2 linked regions of the Pelodiscus sinensis genome follow. The protein of the gene in region 1 purifies or fractionates together with the protein of each later gene. This does not show direct contact. Links are inferred from orthologs where the notes say so. Each region holds a gene or a part of one and is shown in the gene's direction. Other genes may lie near its edges.

Region 1 (7,245 bases):
AATCGGGGTGATGGGAACTGACCGGTTCTGTCCTATTGCAGTGGTCAGGGCAGTGGTTGGGGGTGTGTGTGATAGGACAGCACCTGGTGGAAATGTGTGGGATCGAGTGCCAGGGGTTCAAGGCAGGGAGCTGGAGCGTGAGTGGGGGGCACTCATTGCAGGGGGTGGGAGCTGTGCAGTGCTTGGGGGTGGGTGGGTGGGTGCAGGAGTCAAGCGAGAGCTGTGGGGGTTCAGGGCAGAGAGTTGTGGGGTGGGGGCTTCAGGGATTGGGATTGGGGGGACCCAGGGCTGGGTGTGCATTTCCTGTACTGCAGGACAATGGGTCCCCGGGGCTGCCCAACTGCTTGGGTGCCAGGCTGGCTGGGACAGAGGAACTAGGGATGTGAAGGACTAGTCACTTCCCACCCCCTTGCTGCATCTCTCCGAGGCAGCAAAGGGGGGAAAAAGAGGGGGTGCTTCACAGTGGCAGCACCGCACGGGCTCTGGGACCAGACCCCGGGCTCCACACGGTGCTGCCACTTTGAAACACTGCGTGAAGCCCGGGGCCAGCTGGAGACTGCCTCACTAGCCCCTGCTCCCCGCAGCGCTTTCTCATTTGACGCGTAGCAGCAGCCCAGGGACTGTTGCCTCTCTTCACAGGCGGAGGCGCCTATCGGCTAATCGAATATATGATGCAAACTGCACCGACTATTCGATTAGCCCATTCATCTAAATTGTACATCCAGAGCCCTGCCCCCAGCCAGCCCGTCTCAGTGTGTCACTCCGGGGCATGCCAGCTTGCTTCCAACTTTGCTGGCACCCATTCTGTGCTGGGCCTGTACCCCCTCTGGCCCAGCCAGGACCCCCATCCTGGGCTCCTCGGGAAGATGTGTCTCGGCTGCCTGGCCTGGGGGTTCCAGATGGATCAGCACTCTGCCTGGACTGTGACCTCCCCAGCAACACCTGGCTGTAAGGCAGCCTGCTGTCCACTCCTCAGTGACAGGAACCCCTGTAAGTGCCCCCCCTCCCCAGCTGCTTCTGTCGGGCCATTACTGCGAAGGTAACAGCGTTACCAGGAACACCCCCCCCCCTCCCCCACTGCCTGCCAGCAAACCTGCCTCTGACCAGGGAAGTCGTTCAAACACCACCTGCAGGTTTTCCTCGTGCTCCGGACAAGAACCAGCTAACTCCTTCCTGAGCGGGTCTCCAAAGTGCTCTGTACAAGGTAAGCAGCAGACTGGGGTCCTGTCCCCGCCCAACCCCTGGAGGGTGTAACTTCAAAAGCTGAGCCCCGCGTGGGAGTTTGCAATCTGCCCCCGAAGTCCAATTCACTCGAATTGTCTCCACGATGAGTTATGTCTGTGTCGGCGTGTGAGCGATACTCCAGTACTTGTCGGAGGTGGCATGAATCCTGTCTTCCAGGTGTTTCCAGGTCACCCCACAGTAACGCTTCCATTGGTAGTACAATGAACTGCCAAAATGCTGCAACTTTGAATTCAGCATGGCTTGTGCTGGGTGTTACAAGTATTTGTCATAGCAGCTTGTTCTGACCTGCTCAGGAGGCAGAGAATGCCGCACAAACCTTTGCTTCAAATGGGGAGTGAGGCTCAACAGTGGCTCACACATGTTCTGGTCTGTGACGGGGCTCGTGGGACCACAGCTCGTGGGAGACGTGGCCTGGAGGAAGTGACAGATACGTCCCCTCTGCTCTCACTTGGGGCTTGTGCACATGGAGAATGGCAGTGGGAGATAAGGGGTGAACAGATAGCTGCACGGGTGTAACTGTTGTGTGCACTCACCAGACTGGCCGGGGGGCTGGCGTGTCGCTTGAGTGGAGTGTTACTCTCCCATACTGCCGGACGTGCCCGTGGAGGGGCTGTGCGAGTTTACCACAACATTCCAGAAGAGTTAAAACAGGTTGAGCTGCTCTGCCAAGCCACATACAAGCTGCACCCTGCCAGGGGCCCAGAAGAAGGGACAGTAACAAGGTACCCAGCAGCAGTGTGTTGGGACTGGTACCGGGAGCGGCGAAATTATGTTCATGGCTTTTTCTGAGGGGTGGGGGAGGGCTTGCCTGTCAATACAATTGAGCAGGCCAATTCCTGGTGGAGAGAAGCCACCTGCGCCCTACAGGGAGGGAAGGAGGCCATGCTTAGTCCCAGTATTTGGCTGTGATTTCTAACCCTTGTGCACAGAGACGCTGCAACAAGCCTATGACAAAGCCCGGGGCAACAGGCTCTTCAGTACAGGTGAGCTGAGGTGGGTCAAACACAAACCAGCACCCGTTGGCTTGGGGAGAGGAGGAAGGTGTACTCAGAACAAGGTTGAGGAATGTTTTTTGGCCAAGGGCCAGTGACACACAGAAAAGTCAACTTGGGGCCACACACAAGAATAAAAAAACCTGTCTCTCACTCTCACTTAATTCAGTGTGCTTTGTGGGCACCAGCCCAGTGTGGGCACCCGAGGCTGGGGGCTGCCTGCCTGCTGTGGGTTGGATCAGATTAAGCTGGGGGGCTAGATCCAGCTCCCACCCAACTTTGAAACCACTTCAGCTGCTACATTTCTAAATGGTTCTGCATTCTCCAGAGCATGTCTCTGCCTCTCCTGTACTCATGCAAGCCAGTTCCTAAGGGGCAGTGGATCTGACTGTCAGTTCCAGTTTCGCATTGGGCTGAAGAAATGACTGTTGCAGTGTTTGCCACAATGTTGCTCAACTGTCACTCCTTCTGGTGTAAAACAGGATGTCTGTCTCTTGCACAGACTGCGCAAGGCTTCTGTGCTAGTATGTGGTGCTATAGTTGCCTAACTCTGATAAGTGTCTTCCTCTTTCACGTAAGTCTCCACCTCTTACTGTAACATAAGTGATGCTAAGGGTATTTTTGGGCTATCAGGAGCAGGCAGCCTAGACCGATTTCAAATGTAGCTTGCACAATGAGCGGGAATGTGCATTCAGTGGTGTAAAACAATTATGTCCTGGCTTGTGCAGCATTTAGCACCAAGCAGCTGCTGTATTTAGCATTCACAATGAAGCAGAAGGCAACATAAGGCTATGATTGGTGCAGATTTCAAAACTGTTTAGCAAGGGCGTTTTTGAAGTATGGTGGAATCTGGACTGTCTGGTTCTGGTCAAGAAATACTCGCTCCCCGCACCCTGGGGTGTGCAACGCATTTCATGGGTGCTCTTTTAGGAACGTGACTTGAAGTGGAACAGACCCGAGTCAGTTTAGTCCAGATTCTCTTACACCAGCCACACTGCAGAGACCCCCCCCCGCAGGATGTTTATGGCACAAGCAGCCCGCCAGGGAAATGCAGGACGGGAGAGTTCCGAGTGATCCCGGCAACCCCCGGCCAGACAGCCTGGGCCCTGGGGAGCGGGGCGAGGACGCGGGTGGGCAAGGCCTGGCCCGCGGGCCGCAACCCGTCTGGCCCGCGGGCCGCATTCAGCTACCGGCCCCGAGCGGCGGGGTCGCGCCCCTGCCGCAAAGGCAGCACTCGCCGGACGTAACGTCACGGCGGGGCGAGGGCAACGATGGGGGAGGGGCAGGACGAATGGGGTTTGCGGGAAGGATCCGGCGCCCTGGGGACGGGCCCGGAAACGATCTGGGACCACCGGGGGGGGGGGGGGGGCTGCCTCTCTCCACCCACATGGCACAGGCTGAGGCGGGTAACGCGGCTGCGCAGAGAGGCGCCGCCCTCGGGCGGGTAACGCGGCTGCGCGGTGAGGCGCCGCCCTCGGGCGGGTAACGCGGCTGCGCGGTGAGGCGGAGGCACAGACTTTGCGCCTCCTAGCGGCGCAGCCTCTAACTAGGAGCCAAACGGCTTCTTACCGTTGATATGTAAATTAGCCTCTCTGCTTCTGGAAGGGGAACTTGCCCCCCGCCCCGCCCCGCCCCGCCCCGCCCCTTCCCTTTCGCGCCCTTCAGCCCCGGCGGCGCCACAGGGAGCCGGCCGAATGCCCAGGCCGGGCAGCGCCACAGCGCACGTTAATGCGCATGCTCAGGGCTAGAAGAGCCGCCCGGGCGGAGGGCACTGCGCATGCGCCCGGCAGGCCGGATATCCGCCGCGGGGGGTGGGCGGTGCTGCGCGCACGAATATGGCGACGGAGTTGGAGAGCGGCGGGGGCTCGATGCCGGATGTCGGGGCCCAGCGGGCAGAGCTGGGGCCGCTGCTGGGCATGGCGCTGCGGCCGGGCGAGTCTTGGTGAGGGGGGCTGGAGAGGGGAAGCCTGGGGCCGGGGAGCGGAGCTGGGGGGGGGGAGGTTGGAGAGCGAGCCTGGGGCCGGGGAGCGGAGCTGGGGGGGGGGAGGTTGGAGAGCGAGCCTGGGGCCGGGGAGCGGAGCTGGGGGGGGGGAGGTTGGAGAGCGAGCCTGGGGCCGGGGAGCGGAGCTGGGGGGGGGGGAGGTTGGAGAGCGAGCCTGGGGCCGGGGAGCGGAGCTGGGGGGTGGGGGGAGGTTGGGGAGCGAGCCTGGGGCCGGGGAGCGGAGCTGGGGGGGGGGGAGGTTGGAGAGCGAGCCTGGGGCCGGGGAGCGGAGCTGGGGGGGGGGAGGTTGGGGAGCGAGCCTGGGGCCGGGGAGCGGAGCTGGGGGGGGGGGAGGTTGGGGAGCGAGCCTGGGGCCGGGGAGCGGAGCTGGGGGGGGGGGAGGTTGGAGAGCGAGCCTGGGGCCCGGGAGCGGAGCTGGGGGGGGGGGAGGTTGGAGAGCGAGCCTGGGGCCGGGGAGCGGAGCTGGGGGGGGGGGAGGTTGGGGAGCGAGCCTGGGGCCGGGGAGCGGAGCTGGGGGGGGGGGAGGTTGGGGAGCGAGCCTGGGGCCGGGGAGCGGAGCTGGGGGGGGGGGAGGTTGGAGAGCGAGCCTGGGGCCGGGGAGCGGAGCTGGGGGGTGGGGGGAGGTTGGGGAGCGAGCCTGGGGCCGGGGAGCGGAGCTGGGGGGGCGGGGGGAGGTTGGGGAGCGAGCCTGGGGCCGGGGAGCGGAGCTGGGGGGGCGGGGGGAGGTTGGGGAGCGAGCCTGGGGCCCGGGAGCGGAACTGGGGGGGGGGAGGTTGGGGAGCGAGCCTGGGGCCGGGGAGCGGAGCTGGGGGGGGGGGGAGGTTGGGGAGCGAGCCTGGGGCCGGGGAGCGGAGCTGGGGGGGGGGGAGGTTGGGGAGCGAGCCTGGGGCCGGGGAGCGGAGCTGGGGGGGGGGGAGGTTGGGGAGCGAGCCTGGGGCCGGGGAGCGGAGCTGGGGGGGGGGGAGGTTGGAGAGCGAGCCTGGGGCCCGGGAGCGGAACTGGGGGGGGGGAGGTTGGAGAGCGAGCCTGGGGCCCGGGAGCGGAACTGGGGGGGGGGAGGTTGGAGAGCGAGCCTGGGGCCGGGGAGCGGAGCTGGGGAGGGGGGAGGTTGGAGAGCGAGCCTGGGGCCGGGGAGCGGAGCTGGGGAGGGGGGAGGTTGGAGAGCGAGCCTGGGGCCGGGGAGCGGAGCTGGGGGGGGGGAGGTTGGAGAGCGAGCCTGGGGCCCGGGAGCGGAACTGGGGGGGGGGAGGTTGGAGAGCGAGCCTGGGGCCCGGGAGCGGAGCTGGGGGGAGGTTGGAGAGCGAGCCTGGGGCCGGGGAGCGGAGCTGGGGGGGGGAGGTTGGAGAGCGAGCCTGGGGCCGGGGAGCGGAGCTGGGGGGGGGGAGGTTGGGGAGCGAGCCTGGGGCCGGGGAGCGGAGCTGGGGGGGGGGGAGGTTGGAGAGCGAGCCTGGGGCCGGGGAGCGGAGCTGGGGGGGGGGGAGGTTGGAGAGCGAGCCTGGGGCCGGGGAGCGGAGCTGGGGGGGGGGGAGGTTGGAGAGCGAGCCTGGGGCCGGGGAGCGGAGCGGGGGGGGGAGGTTGGGGAGCGAGCCTGGGGCCGGGGAGCGGAGCTGGGGGGGGGAGGTTGGGGAGCGAGCCTGGGGCCCGGGAGCGGAGCTGGGGGGGGGGAGGTTGGGGAGCGAGCCTGGGGCCGGGGAGCGGAGCTGGGGGGGGGAGGTTGGGGAGCGAGCCTGGGGCCGGGGAGCGGAGCTGGGGGGGGGGAGGTTGGAGAGCGAGCCTGGGGCCGGGGAGCGGAGCTGGGGGGGGGGAGGTTGGAGAGCGAGCCTGGGGCCGGGGAGCGGAGCTGGGGGGGGGGGAGGTTGGGGAGCGAGCCTGGGGCCGGGGAGCGGAGCTGGGGGGGGGGGAGGTTGGGGAGCGAGCCTGGGGCCGGGGAGCGGAGCTGGGGGGGGGGGGAGGTTGGGGAGCGAGCCTGGGGCCGGGGAGCGGAGCTGGGGGGGGGGAGGTTGGGGAGCGAGCCTGGGGCCGGGGAGCGGAGCTGGGGGGGGGAGGGTGGAGAGCGAGCCTGGGGCCCGGGAGCGGAACTGGGGGGGGGGAGGTTGGAGAGCGAGCCTGGGGCCGGGGAGCGGAGCTGGGGGGGGGGAGGTTGGGGAGCGAGCCTGGGGCCCGGGAGCGGAGGTGGGGGGAGGTTGGAGAGCGAGCCTGGGGCCCGGGAGCGGAACTGGGGGGGGGGGGGAGGTTGGAGAGCGAGCCTGGGGCCGGGGAGCGGAGCTGGGGGGGGGGAGGTTGGGGAGCGAGCCTGGGGCCCGGGAGCGGAGGTGGGGGGAGGTTGGAGAGCGAGCCTGGGGCCCGGGAGCGGAGCTGGGGGGTGGGGGGAGGTTGGAGAGCGAGCCTGGGGCCGGGGAGCGGAGCTGGGGGGGCGGGGGGAGGTTGGAGAGCGAGCCTGGGGCCCGGGAGCGGAGGTGGGGGGAGGTTGGAGAGCGAGCCTGGGGCCCGGGAGCGGAGCTGGGGGGCGGGGGGAGGTTGGAGAGCGAGCCTGGGGCCGGGGAGCGGAGCTGGGGGGGCGGGGGGAGGTTGGAGAGCGAGCCTGGGGCCGGGGAGCGGAGCTGGGGGGGGGGAGGTTGGAGAGCGAGCCTGGGGCTGGGGAGCGGAGCTGGGCCAGGCTGAGTGGCACTGCTGGTGCTTTCAGGCCTCTGGCATGTGGCTCTGTGTCCTGCTGTAAGAGTGGAGCCAGTGGCTGAGTAAGGCGGGTCTCAGCTCCTGGCTGACACCCTGTACTCCTGGCCTGGGCTTTGCCTGCTTAAGGGGCTGAGTCACCAGTGGTGGAGCCTCAGAAAGATGGGTTGCAGGGCAGGTTTCTGATGGCACATTTCAGGTGGATAGAGAAGGCCAATTCAACTGTTCAGTGCCTCATAAAACTTAGGGCTTTTCTACCCTTAAAATGCTGTGGTGGTCCAGCTGCTTTGCTATAGTGCTTCAGTGTAGACATGCTACCCATGCTTTTGAGAGGGT
Region 2 (7,850 bases), on another chromosome or scaffold:
CTGCTAGGCTGAGTGACTGGCCTCAGCCTAAAGATGGACCTTCTCTTATTGCTATTGAGATCTAAGCCTTCTATTGAGATTGATGCCTGTCTTTGACTCACTGTGATGACAGATACATTCCTCTAGTGCCTGAAGGAGTCTCTATGCTCCTATAGAACAATTAAAAAAACCAGCTCCCCATGCAGACTGCCTGCCTGCTGCCCCACACTGCTGTCTGATACAGACGCAGCAGTGCGGGGTGGCAGCAACCCCTGTCCTCGGGTCTGAGCTCCCTATGGACAGAGGCTGCTGCGGGGAGGCTGCCAAGGAGCAGCCTGTGTGCATGGCAGCCCATGTCAATGAGCTATAGCTGTGCAGTTTAAATGTACTAAGAGCCAGGCGCACAGGCAGCCTGGCTCCTGCCACATTAAAACTGCAGAGCTGCACTGGGGGTAGGTCCAGGGTAGGTCCCCCACTGTGGCTCTGTCTTTTAAGTGTAGTAAGAGCCAGGCAGCTCTCAATACCCTTAAAAAGCAGAGCCGCAGCAGGCTGGGATAGAGGCGGGAGAGGTGGAGCGAGTAGGCAAGTAGTGACTCGACTACCCAAGTAGTCACTTACATCCCTACTTCGAATACAGCGCTGCAATGGCACAGGTACCTCAGTGCAGCTGTAGTGCTTTAGTGAAGATGCTACTATGCTGATGGAAAAGCTTCTCTAGTTAGCAGAGTTAATCCACCTCTGTGAGAAGCGGTAGCTAGATCAGCAGGAGATGCTCTCCCATTGACTAAACACAGTCTATACAGGGAGGCGAGGTTAGATTGATATTACTTATATTGTTCTGACATTGTGGATTTTTCATACCCCTGAGCAATGGACTTATATCAATATAAGTTTTTAGTGTAGGCTGGTCCTGATTTTGTTCCTACATGCCTGTGCTATTCTTTTGTACTCCTTCTTAGCAACTTGTCTCCACTTCTGGCAGTCAGGAAACGTAGTTCCCAGTTCTTAACTCTTATTCTGTTAAAAGATGTGGGAAACGATTGAAAGCCACTACCTGAACTTTGGTAGTAGTCCCATTGTAAGAGAAGGGGAATGAAAGTTGACATGGCAAGTAACGCTACTGAAGGGCACTGCTCAGTATGGGGAAAGACAGAGTCCTGCTTGTTTATAACGGACAGCTTGGCCACAGTTATGTCGTTCAGACCGTTTCCATGAATAACTTTGCAGAGGAATGCAGCTGAAACAGATTGCTTGCATTCAGTGACATGTATGGAAAGCAGCCTTATTGAGGTCTTCATGTAGCTGAGTCTGTTTACTTATAAAATGCGTCATGTTGTGGGTAAAAGGTTCCTCAACTCTATGGTGATGCAATAGGAGTCTATTGCCTGCAGTAATGTCTAGATCAGACTTCCATGTACCTTCCCTAATCTCTGCACCACTGTCCTCTTCTGAATAGCACGTCTGAGCCTGCAGCCTATAGAGAGGAGAGCGTGGAGGAAGCTGCCACAGTCCTACTAATCCATTTTTCTCACAGCTACCAGATAGTTTAATAGCAACGTTTTAAAGGGATTTGATTTTCCTCCATCTATTTCTCAATGTGCCAAGCGCAGCAACATAGAAGACAAACCCCAAAATGAGGCCCAGGGAATAACGTTTTATATCGGGAACGTGAAAATTATGGGGGGCGGGATTTCTCTAGCTGAAGTCTCCCTTTGTTTTCTCACTTGATGTTTCTGACATTAATGATTTATAGAAATAAACAGTTTAGAACACATCAGGGTTGCAGACAAATCTGAATCTGGAAAAGGAGCATCATCTGTAATGAGAGGCAGTTGGGAAGGGTTACTTTTGTCGCTGTTTAATAAATTATGCCTACTGTGCTGAAATCCTCTATTGGTGCCATTCGTTGGGAGGGAGTGTGGATAAATGTTTGGAGCAGAGGGCGGAAAGATGGGACTTCTAGATTCTATTCCCGCTGTCCTGTGTGGACAATTGACTTCACGGTATGTAGACTTAACAAATGAATATTTGTTAAAATCTTTGTTGTGCTCAAATGTAAGGCCGTAGAGGAATTCAAAATGACATTGATTAATCTCCTCAGAATTCTAACGATGGATGGGATCATTGAAGATGCCAGACGGCGCCGGTACTATGAGAAACCATGTCGCAAGAGGCAGCGGGAGACCTATGAGACATGCCGGCGGATTTATAATGCAGAAATGGCCAGGAAGATTGGCTTTCTAATGAGGAAGAATCGACCGGACCCCTGGCTAGGTTCTTAGATCCCAAGAATTACAATAGCTGGGAAAACTGTAACTTCTTTTTAAAACAAACAAGCAAACATAAAACAAAACCCACACCACTGTCATAGCTGATCTCTTCGTTGCTAGTGTCAACTGAGAGGCCAATGAGCGAATGGGCCATGGAGACTGAATTCTCTTCTCCACCAGGGCAGGATTGAAGACCATCATACCATCAAATCTCTCAGCTTCTGAACAATTACTATGTTGTGCCTATCTGTTAATAAAAGTATGCATTTTAGCATGTTGTCCTGCTGTTCTTGGGTGACAGACATAAGCAAACTATATTAATTCAGGTTTTAATATATTTCCTTTTATGAATGATTCCTTTAAATAGTGCTTGCTGCTCATTATAATTAGACCTCTGCAAATCCACAGATATTTGTGGCCTGTTTTTTTGGATTGTGAATGGATACAGATCCAAATGTTGTATCCCTGCAGGGCTCTAATTATAATCTCTTACTTGGCATAGTTTGTGAAAAAAGTGGAAAAAACCTGAGTTAGGTTTGATTTATTCCAGAATAAAGATGCTCACAAATATTTTCATTCACCTTCCCTTTATTTTACGCTTGATTGGCAGCAAATAATGTGGATTCTGGAATTCATATACATCATTTGCAAATTATTTTTAAGACTGTAGGGGCTCACAGCCTTAATTTTATTTATACTGCAGTCCCATTATTCAGCTCTGTAGCGTTAAGAAGCCTTAAAGTGAATGCAAACATATCTATGTCCACTTCGAGGTCCTTTTACATTGCCAAATTGAAAGTAAAAAACTAAAATAAGTCCTTAGATTCCTGGGTGAATAATTCTGCTTCTGTTGTGTTTTACCTTAGTTTTTTTTAGTGGAGTTTCCACTTAATAATCTCCAATTTTTATTAAAGTTCCTCTTAATCATGTGGGGAAATATTGACGTTACCACTGCAGATACAATTTTCACACCCTCCTGTCCCTGTGTCTGGAAATGCTTTCCTCAGTGCAATCTTGTTTCTCACATAGCCATGCTTTTTCTGACAGTTTTACGCATGTGTAGTATCTTATAACACCCTTTACTGTTCATTGTGCGCCATTTTCCACAATTCCCTGTTGTATAAAAATACACAGTAGTTGATCCACCTAATATTAGTTGTCTCCCATGGAAAAATAAAAGGCTTGTCTCCAAGAACCCATCTGAGGCCCTCAAACTTTCAGTGTGGAAAGTATTTAAGTTCTGTTTAAATATCCTTTAATGTGATTTGGCAGCTAGAAATAAGCCAATCCTATGCGACTTAAGTCCTTTGTGGAGTACAGTCAGAGATCCCTTTTACAGAGGCTATGTTTGGATAGCAGTATACAGGCAGTCCCCGACTTACGCGGATCCGACTTATGTCGGATCCGCACTTACGAACGCGGCTTTTCTCACCCCGGAGCTCGCGGGCGGTGGGACCGCCCAGAGCGCAGCGGTCCCGCCACCGCGTCCTCCGGGGCGAGAAAAGCTGCTCCGGGTCTCCCTGGTGTGCTGGGGGGGACTCCACCACGATGGAGTTCTGGCACATTCTGTGATGTGGTAACTGCAGGTGTCAGGTGTACAGAGCGCACTGCACTGACATTTTGGCATGGTGCAATGACATTCTCATCTCCTGCTGCTTGGGGAAGAGACATGGCCAAGAAGACCACAGAAGAAATAAGAAGGTGATTTGATTGATAGCACAACACAGCAAAGTGCTGATTTCACCCAATCCATATCTGACTGGTGCCATGAGGGCAGGCTTCTACCAAACCCCCCGTCTTCTCCTATATGTGTCTGCCTCAGGGGGAAGCTAGAGATCACGAATTCAGCTCAGCCCTGCCTCACTCTCTTCCCCTCCCTACTTAGCCCTGGCAAAAGCTGGGTGCCAGCATCCAATCCTTTGCCCTTTACCTCTTGAATTTGGCTCTTGGAGGGCAATGGGGCCAGGACCCCAGCCCCTTTGAATCCCCCAACCTCCGGCTCCTGGCTGGGCGGGGCAGGGGGGCGGAGGGAGCTAGCTTGTGCCATGAACCCAGCCCCCCTGGATCTTCTGCCCCCCTGGTTTTGGGGCCTGTCCCCCCCCCATCTCCTCCTCCCTCCAGCGCCTGGAACGGGCCCTTGGGGGGGCAGGATCCCAGCCCCCCTGGATCTTCTGCCCCCCGGGGGGGCGGGGCAGGACCCCAGCTGTCCTGGCCCCGCCCACCTCTACCTCCGCGCACCCACGCTACTGCCCAGGCACTAGAGCACGAACGGCATGTGACGTAACACAACTTCCGTTGCTTCCCCCTCTCCTCACCCCTGTCACGTGATACGTGAGCCGCGGGGCTCAGGAGCACGGGGGAGGCGCGTCTTCTCCGTCACGTGACTCCCTCCCCCACCGGGATTGAGGCTCCCGCGTCACGTGCGGGTGCCCGATTCCCCGCGCGGCCGCCTCGCTCGGGGCCGTTTCCGCTTCCGCCCCAACGTTCCGTCTCCGTCAGTCGACGCAGCCAGGCCGCCGCGGCGGGGCGCGGAAGTTTCGGGCCGGGGCCGGGGCCGGGCGGCGCTGAGGTGAGGCCGCGCGGGCGGCGGGGCGCGGGCAGGCCGCGGGGCTGGCGGCGGGGCGCGGGCGCGTGCTCCGGGGCTCGAGGGCTGAGTAGGCCTCGTGTGCGCGCGCGGAGGCCCGCGTGCCCCGGGGAAGGACCCGCACGGGCCCCCCCGTGCTCCTGTGGCCGTGATAGCGAGCCCCGCGCACTGGGGGAGGGGGAGCTCCCCGTCTCTGCGCCCCCCCATATTCCTGTGGAACTGACGGGCCCTCCTGCGCGGGGAAAGGGGGGAGCTCCCGGCCCCCCCCATTCCTGTGGCAGCCACGGGCCCCCATGGCCTGGGACGTGGGCACTCCCAGCCTGCTCCCCCATGTCCTGTGGCGAGGACAGCAGCCCCCTTTTAATGGGGACCAGGGAACGGCCCCTCCCCCCGCTGGCCAGGGGGTTCTCCGCTCTGCCTGTCCGGCTACGTTGGTAAACGATCTTCTGGGCAGTGCAGGGAACCTTCCTCATGTGGCTTTCCTCGCCCTCTTCTTTGTCATCATGTGGGAAGGTTGCATCCTTCCCAACCATCTTCCCCTTCGCCCCAAGGCGGGAGAGCTCCACACACTCTAGTGCCCTGTATGTGTGGCACTGTGCTGTGTGCTCTGGCTTGGAGCATCGCTGGTAATCCAGTCTCATCACTGTGTTCCTTTCCCCGCCTCTGTGCTCCTGTTGGTGACTGATAGCAAGTGAATTAGCCCTATGTTTTAAGTTAAAACATCTCAATGAATGGTTCAGGGAATCTCCAAAGTCTTTGAGCAGACTCAGTTTTTGTGCATCTACCTCAAAATAAACAATCTCCAGCTCTTCTAGAATGCCAGTATTATTTTAGCTCAGATCAGGGAGCATTCAGATGTGCACGCTTTATTTCTGTTGTGCGTACCCATTCTTTAGAGGGCAGGCAACTGGGAGTTAAGGCTCCTGGTTTCTGATCTCAGCTTTGCTGCCCATGCTGTTAGACTGACTCACACAAGTGAAGTTGACTTGTCTCAAGATTCCTCATTTAAAAAATTAGATACTGCTGACTTGTTTCACGCAAGTATGGTGATTAAAGAAAAAAAAAACAGTGCGGTGCTTTGGAGAGAAAGTGCTATATAAAGAGTTGTTTTTCTCCAGCATCTAGCCTAGAAATAAGACCTGGAGTGGCTCTTTTTTCAAAATAAATTCGACTTGGATGGCAGTCCCATCAATCTGTCAGTGATGGTTTCCTCAAGAGGGATTGTTGCCATTTATAATGTCGCTTCTCTATGCATCATAGGCAAATACACACTATTAAAAGAGGTTGTATTAGGTTTGATTATCTTCTGGATACTTCATGTAACACCAGTGCCTTTTTAGGGAGGATAATAGTATGGTGAGTACACAAGACGGAAGGGTTACCAACAAAAACTGAGCAGCAGGTGTAAACCATAAGTTCTTCACACAATGCTCAGTCAATCATGCATCATAATCAGGACTCGTGCCTCCCATTTTCCATCTAACCATTAGATTGTGCTGCTTCCCTTGCTGACCTGACAAAGGTACACACACAATGGTGGAGTGGCATGTCTCACATTTATTTTCATTCTGGGTACATTTTTTTATCCACCAACAGAAAAAGGTGTCTGTGTGGGTTTTAACCTTTGCCAGTGTGCAAATGAGTTTTATAACTAAGGTAAGAATTGTCCGCCCAAAATGTTACATGTGTACTAGGTTGCTTCTCAGAAAGAAGTAGTTGGGGTGGTTGTGCGGAGGGGCGAGGGGCACGCTTGTCTTATGTGCACAATTTTCAGTTGCAGAACTTGGTATAATTTTCCACTCATGTATGAGAGCGCTTAACTTATTTCTAGGGCTGTAATTTTTTACAGTGCAAATATTTATATTAAACTGAGACAGTATTTTTCAATTATCCCTAAAGCATATTCTGTAATGCAGTCACTTTATCCAGAAAGTGGAACTTACAAATGTTAGAATTATGTACTCCCCCCCCCCAAAAAAAAACTGTATTCAAAAATAAAACAGTGTGAAACTTTAGAGCCTAAAAGTCCACTCAGTCCTACTTCTTGTTCAGCCAATCACTTAGACAAATAAATTTGTTTACAATTTGCAGGAGATAATGCTGCCCACTTCTTGTTTATAATGTTACCTGAAAGTGAGAACAGCCCTGTGATGGGTCTTTCCCTGTCCATTTTATGAACATTGGCTTATGAATATAAATGTGCATAACTTGGGGATGCTTTGAACAAAATGCTTCATGTAGCTTATCAGTTTTAATTTTGCCATCTTCTGGATCTGTATGTTGTATTTTGGTGAATGCATCATTCTTGTATGAGACCATCGTAGGGTAGTGGTGGTTGAAGACTTGCTTCTGAGCGGGATGAAGTTGACCATCTGTCACTCTGACATCTCATCTCAGGAGGTATGCTGCCTGCCAGGGGCCCATATCTGAGACATTACAGAGGCATTGTCGAGAATTATTGGCCCTCTGACTACTACCCCATGCTGCTCATCCATGTGGGCACTAATGTTACTGTAAGGTGTGACACTGAGCAGATCAAGAGTGACTACAAGGTTTTGGGAGTATGGATGAAGGTATTTGGAGCACAGGTGATATTCTCTTCAGTCCTTCCTGTCAAAGGTAGGGGCCCAGGAAGAGAGAGGTGCATCCTGGAGGTGAATGCCTGGCTGCAAAGATGGTGTTGCCAGGAGGGCTTTGGCTTCCTTGACCATGGGATGCTGTTCCAGAAAGGACTGCTAAGCAGAGATGGGGTTCACCTGTTGAGGAAGGGGAAGACCATAATTGGATGCAGACTGGCTAACCTAGTGAGGAGGGTTTTAAACTAGGTTTGACGGGGGCAGGTGACCAAAACCCACAGGTAAGTAAAGAACATGGAGACCTGGGAGATGGGTCGGAAATGGGAGGGAAAGTGGGCTATATAATAGCAGAGAAAAAGGAGGGACACGGCAGAACTGGGAGGCAAGATCAAATCAGTATCTTAGATGCCTATATACAAATGTAAGAACTATGGGTAATAA

Evidence for each region. Proteins that work in one complex are often made in the same cells at the same time.
Region 2: the proteins of USP4 (region 1) and PRPF3 purify together in Homo sapiens (co-immunoprecipitation; 4 studies listed by BioGRID and IntAct, with this or other methods). This does not show direct contact. The link is inferred for Pelodiscus sinensis from reciprocal best matches to the Homo sapiens genes USP4 and PRPF3.

What each region holds. Positions count from the first base shown.
Region 1 is NC_134721.1:46,560,266-46,567,510, forward strand, and holds the start of USP4 (ubiquitin carboxyl-terminal hydrolase 4), read left to right. Parts: upstream 1-4,023; 5' UTR 4,024-4,072; coding exon 4,073-4,179; intron 4,180-7,245.
Region 2 is NC_134734.1:21,135,317-21,143,166, forward strand, and holds the start of PRPF3 (U4/U6 small nuclear ribonucleoprotein Prp3), read left to right. Parts: upstream 1-4,661; 5' UTR 4,662-4,818; intron 4,819-7,850. Other genes in the region: MRPS21 (small ribosomal subunit protein bS21m), read left to right, coding at 2,081-2,261. UniProt on the Homo sapiens protein: Plays a role in pre-mRNA splicing as component of the U4/U6-U5 tri-snRNP complex that is involved in spliceosome assembly, and as component of the precatalytic spliceosome (spliceosome B complex).